2 linked regions of the Mus musculus genome follow. The protein of the gene in region 1 interacts with the protein of each later gene in a biochemical or structural test. Links are inferred from orthologs where the notes say so. Each region holds a gene or a part of one and is shown on either strand. Other genes may lie near its edges.

The links.
Region 2: the proteins of Sumo1 (region 1) and Pias3 form a complex in vitro, tested with the Homo sapiens proteins (2 studies listed by BioGRID and IntAct, with this or other methods). The link is inferred for Mus musculus from reciprocal best matches to the Homo sapiens genes SUMO1 and PIAS3.

Annotation. Positions count from the first base shown.
Region 1 is NC_000067.6:59,668,094-59,671,842, reverse strand, and holds the start of Sumo1 (small ubiquitin-related modifier 1), read left to right. Parts: upstream 1-1,008; 5' UTR 1,009-1,151; coding exon 1,152-1,163; intron 1,164-3,749. UniProt on the Homo sapiens protein: Ubiquitin-like protein that can be covalently attached to proteins as a monomer or a lysine-linked polymer.
Region 2 is NC_000069.6:96,703,280-96,706,676, forward strand, and holds the end of Pias3 (E3 SUMO-protein ligase PIAS3), read left to right. Parts: intron 1-246; coding exon 247-380; intron 381-459; coding exon 460-628; intron 629-779; coding exon 780-913; intron 914-1,069; coding exon 1,070-1,107; exon of another isoform or gene 1,108-1,569; coding exon 1,570-1,836; 3' UTR 1,837-2,791; downstream 2,792-3,397. Other genes in the region: Nudt17 (nucleoside diphosphate-linked moiety X motif 17), read right to left, coding at 3,090-3,249. UniProt on the Homo sapiens protein: Functions as an E3-type small ubiquitin-like modifier (SUMO) ligase, stabilizing the interaction between UBE2I and the substrate, and as a SUMO-tethering factor.

The DNA of each region.
Region 1 (3,749 bases):
ATTCTTGGGACTAGAGTTACAGGCAGTTTTGAATGCATGCATGGGTGCTGGGACTCAGACTTGAGTCCTCTGGAAGAGTAGCCAGTGCTCTTTGACTACTGGGTCATTTATAGTTGGCTCATTACTATTTACAGAAAAGATTATTTTACTAATGTCTTGTTCTGTGAAGGGTTTTTGATTTAAGTTTTCATTTTTCCCCCTTTACTTATTATAACCTTAATCCTCCTTGAATGCTTGTGCAAGGTCACTGTATTCAAAGGAAGCAGTTTAGGTCTTTCTATGACACAAGGCAACTAGTTTATGCGTTGGAAGGCGCTCCTGCCTACAACTTCAAAACTTTCAGTAGCATTTTAGTTGTCTGTAGCCACCAAGACTTTGTTCTAGCTGGGGGTGTGGTGGCACTTGGGAGGCAGAGGCAAGAGGATCTCTACGAGTTGGAGGCCAGTCTGGTTGACATTGCAATGTTCTATAATAGCCAAGGCTATTAGTGAGACCCTGCCTCAAAACACAAGAACAAAAGATGTGTCCTGAAGGGTCGTCTTTTTGTGCCCCCTCATCTCCCCCGCCCCCAACAGGGTTCTATGTCCTGTCCTGGAACTCACTTTGTAGATGAAGATGGCCACGAACTCACAGAGATCCGGTAGCCTCTGCCTCTATCACCCGGAGTCACGAATGTGGCAACAGCAAGCATGAGGGGCCTATAAAAATACTATACGGGTAATTCACTATATTCAGTGAGGGTTGGTCCGGGCCTCAGAAGCGCGCAAGTCGTCCCACCGGGAGGAGCCTAAGCAGTCAGTTTGACCCCAGACATTCGGCCTGCAGGCAAAGCGCTGGTCTCCCTGAGGGCTGCGGCAGCGGGCCTGATTCTCCCTCCCTCCGAAGTCCTAGCAGTTCTCTTGCTCCAGGCAAGTAGTTTACAACCTGGAGGATTTTAGCCCCCGGCCTTCCTTACGGCGTTTTCCCGCTTCCTTTTCCCGTCTTCGCTAACTCGCCTCTGCGCGCAGCGGAAGTGACGCAAGACGTAGAGGAAGTCCCTGCAGCCGCGGTGTTGTGCTGTAGAGAAGGGACGGATTTGTAAACCTCAGAGTGAGGTTCTGCCTGCCGGAGGCCGCAGTGGTGCGGAGACCCCCGGGTGAATCCACGTCACCATGTCTGACCAGGTACCGGGCCGGGGCCTTAGGGCTCAGGGCCGTCGGCCGCGGGCTGGGGCCCTGGACTGAGGCGCGGGGGAGGGGGCGGCTGGAGAAGGGGGCTGCCCGTGGGGAGGGGGCCGCGAGGGACGCGGGGCGCCTGGCGGAGTCGGGCCAGGCCGCCTGGGACCCCGGGGCTCTGGGTTCCACGCGCCCTCCGCGCCCCTCTCCGAGGCCCCTACCCCCGCGCCACCCGGCGCCGGGGCTCTCTCGACGGCGCCCAGGTTTCTCGCGGGCTCGCAGGGGGCCCAGGCCCGCTCCCTTGTCCCCGAGAGCAAGCTGAGGGGAAAACGACCGTTTCCCTTCGGACGACGGATGGCAGAAACCAGGCCCTAGGCCCAGTTATGTAACGGGAGGGAAATCCCCGACTGGGAGGCTAGGTGGCCCTGAAAAGCAGCTCGACTCCACTTTGGGTTCTTGGTCCCGGAGAGTGGGGGGCGGCCGGGGAGCCGTGTCTGAGGTGACTGGGAGCCCAGAGGACGCTGCTTTTCCGTTGTGTTTGCCTGGAGGGTCCGTCCATCTCTGCACACCTCAGTCTTTTTTTTTTTTTTTTCCTTCCGGGGGTGCGGAACGGTCCGCTCTTTCGCTGTACTTTCCATTTCTTACTCGGGATTGGTCCATCAACTCTCCAGTTCTCAGAGCGCTCAGAATAACCGAGAAACAGCAAACTGTGTATGGAGTGCCACCACCAACAAGCCATTTCGTCTGGGCTTTAACCAGCAGATGCTTGGCACTTTAAAAAAAAATATAGCACGTTTTTTGTTCTTTGATAATCAGATGACGCATTTAGATTATATGCACCCCCAAACCTCTCTTCCAGAAGTTTCTGAACTAATTTTCGAAGAAATAGAGAAAAAAAAAGTTATCCGTGTTGTACAATTGCAGAATATTTGCAGAAAGCTGTCAATTAGTAGTAAAACAGTGTGTCTCGGTTTTGGAATCAAGGATTTGCATGGTATTTGCCTTCAAATAGGAGTGACTCCTTGCCACCTAAATTTTTCTTCATCCTATTTTAGTTACTACCTTTGTGGCTAGTTTTTATATACATAAGGTTTTGGTCTGACTTTGCTTTGGTTTGCTCAGATGACTTAATTTTCAGAGTATTTTTTTTTTAACTTTTTCTTCTTTTGTGATAATTATTCAGTAAACTTTTTCATTCAACTTCACAATGTAGTTGGACTTTTTTAAAAAAAAAATTTGTTGTTGTTGTTTGAGACACGGATTTTCTGTGTAGCCTTGGCTTTCTAGGAACACTCTGTAGACCAGGCTGGCCTCCAATTTATAGAGATCGGCCTGTTTCTGTCTCCTGAGTGCTGGGATAAAAGGCTTGTGCCACCACAGACTGGCCAGGGTGGTTCTATTTTTATAGCCTATCTACACTGTAGACTAATTGTGGCATGGATTTACTTATTAATAATCTGAATTAATCCTCTTTTGGGATAGAAATGACTTTATGAATAATTTGTTTATGACAGTTGTTTACTTAGTTACCAGCTCAGAAAGATCAGCTGTAAATGCTTAAGTCCTGGAACTCTGTAGACCAGGCTGGCCTTGAACTCAGAAATCCCCCACTACCTCCCAAGTGCTGGGATTAAAGGCGTTGCCACCACGCCTGGCCTTTGTTTTTTCTTTTCTTTCTTTCTTTTTTTTTTTTTTTTTTTTCTTTTTTTTTTGGGTTAATGCTTAAGTTTCATCAGCCTTCTATTTTGGAAGAGCTAGAAAGCATGTTAGCCTGAAGAGAGGGCAACACACAGAAAGAGTTCTAAGTTTTAGGATTAGTTTTGCTCTAGTTTGAACTCACATTATATAAGGATATGGAGAAAGAAAGGAGGACCCAAGGGCACACACAGGGTTTCAGGGGATCGCAAAGTCACACTGTTGCTTGCTGTAGCACTCACCTCACTGGTCACCGGGGTTATTAGGTGTTGGACCTAGGGCCTCCCACATGTGCTTGCCAGGCAAGTGCTACAGCCTCATTTTTTCTTTTACTTTGTTTCACTAAGTTGCCTAGGTTGGACTGTAGCACAGCTTGCCTTTGAACTTGAACCTGGACTTCTCTCAGCCTTGCAGAGTAGCTGGGATTACAGAGTTATACTGTCACGCCTAGATGGTGTGTGTGTATGTATGTGTGTGTGTCTGTTTTTCTCATTCATGGATATTCAGTGAAGTTTTTAAGAAACATGACAGAAAAATGGAGCAAATCTTTTTTGTAGCCTTACAGCTTCTCACAGTTTCTTCTGTGTCTATCTCCTGAGTGCTGGGATTAAAGATGTCTACCACCACACCTGGCAAAACAAGTCTTTTTAATTGAGCTACACATTAAAGCAATTTGCATATGAAATAGTGCTGCTACTCTTAGAAATTTTGTCTTTAAAAAAAGTAATAAAAATGTATGCTAACGTTTTTTAGGGGTTATTTATTGATTCAAGTTAAGGGTTTCTCTGTAGCCTTAGTTGTCCTGGAACTTGCTCTATAGATCAGCTTGTCCTCAGATCTGCCGGCCTCTTACTCCCAGAATGTATATACCACCATGGCTCAGTTGATAGGTTTTTATTT
Region 2 (3,397 bases), on another chromosome or scaffold:
TTCTGAAGCTCTCTTACATCCTTTCTCCCCCACAGTGCTAGGGATCAGACTCAGCCTGCAGGCTAAGCAGGTGCTCTGTTACTGAGCTACAGTCCCAGCTGTATTCTATCCCAGCAGCAGCTCAGGGAGGTCCAGGAGGGTGGGTGATGCAGATGAGGTGACTAAAGCATAGGAAGTGAGTGTCAGAACACCGTGGGTGGCTCCAGCCGCGTCCAGCCTCGTGAATCCACATGTCCTCCTCCCTAGTTTATTCATGGAAATTCTTAATTCCTGTTCGGATTGTGATGAGATCCAGTTCATGGAAGATGGATCCTGGTGTCCGATGAAACCCAAGAAGGAGGCATCAGAGGTTTGCCCCCCGCCAGGGTATGGGCTGGATGGTGAGTGACCCCCTGCTCCCCAATTGAGCTAAGTCATGGCTGGCCCTTTCTCTGAGACAGCCTTCTTAACCACCCACAGGTCTCCAGTACAGCGCAGTCCAGGAGGGAATTCAGCCAGAGAGTAAGAAGAGGGTCGAAGTCATTGACTTGACCATCGAAAGCTCATCAGATGAGGAGGATTTGCCCCCCACCAAGAAGCACTGCCCTGTCACCTCAGCGGCCATTCCAGCCCTTCCTGGAAGCAAAGGGTATGAGAAAGGTTGCTCCCATAGCAGAGGGACAGAAGTCAGAACTGCCTTCTGGCCACAGGTCGAGCTTTGGGACAGGGAAGAGCAGGCGGAGTGGGACGTGGGGCATCTGCGCTTGGCTAGCTCTCCGGCTCTTTCTCTCCACTCACAGAGCCCTGACCTCTGGTCACCAGCCATCCTCGGTGCTGCGGAGCCCTGCAATGGGCACACTGGGCAGTGACTTCCTGTCTAGTCTCCCGCTACATGAGTACCCACCTGCCTTCCCACTGGGGGCTGACATCCAAGGTAGAACACTGACCCTAAGGTGGAGGGGAGGGTCGTTCCCTGTCACCCTCTCCAGACCTGTTTCTTTGCCGAGCCCCAGGGACAGGGGGATTTTTTTTTCCCCTTGTGGTGAAGGAGTCAGAAGGGAGTTGATTTTGATTTTTCTTTTCCTACCAGGTTTAGATTTATTTTCTTTCCTTCAGACTGAGAGTCAGGTAAGTGGCCATGTTTAGGAAGATCCAAGATCTCGGAAGAGTCCATTCTAGACACATGATGTGCTCTTCCCCTGCCCAGTGTCCCTAGGGATTTAAAAATGCTTTCCTGTGAGGGGAGAACATGGTCCTTTCCCTGCCCCCGTCACTCCATAGTCACACCTGTGATTTCGTAGCCCCACTCTTCCTGCTCACTCACCCCCACACGGACTCAGAACCTTCCCTAGTGGATGTTCCACACATTTCAGACACCCACAAGGCCAAGAACTGGATGTCTGAAGGGGCTGTCTCAAGGCAAGGCACAGGAGAAGGGTCTGGGGGAGTAGGGTGGAGGCAGAGGTTCCCAGCTTTTCTTCTCAAGAATGCTGTATGATCCCTGAGGGCTGGTACCCCACGAGGTGGTTCTGAGGTGAGTGAGGTGCTGAGTCAAGACAACACGTCAAGCTGTGCCCTTCATCTCTCCAGCACTACGGCCCTTCAGTTATCACTTCGCTAGATGAACAGGACACCCTTGGCCACTTCTTCCAGTACCGGGGAACCCCTTCCCACTTCCTGGGCCCACTGGCCCCCACACTGGGGAGCTCTCACCGCAGCTCCACTCCAGCGCCCCCTCCTGGTCGTGTCAGCAGCATTGTGGCTCCTGGGAGCTCCTTGAGGGAAGGGCATGGAGGACCCCTGCCTTCAGGTCCCTCTTTGACTGGCTGTCGGTCAGACGTCATTTCCTTGGACTGAGCTTTTTGGATTATGAAATCAATCTCCATTGGCCCCAGCACTGAGCAGATCACGTTGTGGGTTCCGAACCCCTGGCTGCTCTGATCCCTCAGGGGTCATTGGCCAAAGGCCAGGCCAGAGCTTCATGGATACCTGCTTTTGGCCTTATCGCTGCCTAACAGGCCAGTACTCACAGGGTTAACATTTAACCTTTTTATGGTGGCACATTCCTCTGGGTATGGTAACCTAGGCAGTGGGAGGCAGATGGGATAGGGACTGAGGGATGAGGGGGTCCTTAGCCTTTACCAGATCTTCAGCCTCTTGGGGAAAGGCACTTTCCTGCCTCCTCTCCCAAGACTCTCCGTTCCCTACCCAAACCCAAATATCTGGTCTTTGACATCCATTCCGTTCTCTTTGACCATACAGTCGGGCGACAGGTCAGAGATGGACAGAGAACTCTATTTTGGATTGCAGATTTCTTTTTTGTACATAAATAAGAAAACTCCAAAGCATCCAAAGATGAAATCCCTTGCCTTTCACTCCCCAGTGTGACTCGAGGAGGAAACAAGGCCTTAGTTGTGATTCCCAGGGGCTGGGGAGCAAGGCGTGGCCTGTCTGCTGCCTGGGTCTCTATTTATATATTTAAGTTCACAATGTTTTTATGCTAAACAGCCAAGGGGCGAAGCGTCTAGTGGCCTGTGTTCAGGCCTGGATTACTCTTGCACCTTTTGTGGGACATGGGGGCTCTGTGTTCTCCTCCCCAATACTCAGGCCCCTTCCTTCAGGGCCAAGGCCCTGTGATGTGATTTTACTTTTATTCCCAAAGTTGTAGCAGAGTTCTCGCCTACAATAAAGGTTGTGAATGTTCTGTGAGCGTCATGGAGGGGAAGGGATGTTGTACCTCGCTTTCCAGACCCAGGGTTTGTGGGGCAGAGGGTCCATGTTCCATCCTTTCACTTAAAAAAAAAAAAAGAACATTTAAAGTGTTTATTACTGTGTATGCGGGCACGTGCACCATGGTTTTGCACGTGGAAGTCAGAGGGCAGCTTTATGGAGTAGGGCCTCTCCTTCCATCTCGAAGGACATCCCAGGTCTTGGGTTGACAGGCTTCCTTTGCTGGTCTGTGGTCTGTGTGGACGTCACTTTTACCTGGGAGGGAGTGTGGGCATTCGCACAAGCATAGCCAAGAGCAGTTGCTTTCTCTTTGTTTCTTTGATGTCCCTAAAAACATCATCTGGTACCAAGACTATGCTACCCGCAAGTCGGTCCTTACCTCATCTGCCCAGATGTTGCAACCAGAGCTGGAGGGCAAACTTGGTTCCAGCGCCGATCCTCTCTTTGTCCTCCTCTGCTGTGGTTGGGGTTGTCCGCATGAGTGTGGGCATGGGCAGGACCAGAGGTTGGGTTCCTCCATCGTCCTTCAGTTCGGTTGCACTGGATTATAACAGTTTCTGTCTGGGTTGTGCCTTGTAGCTTACAACGAACTTTAGTATATTGAGCCGTTTAATCCTCCCAAGTATTGCAGAAGGCAAGTGAGTGTTAACCTCACTTGACAGAAAGGAAACACATTCAAGGAGGTTTA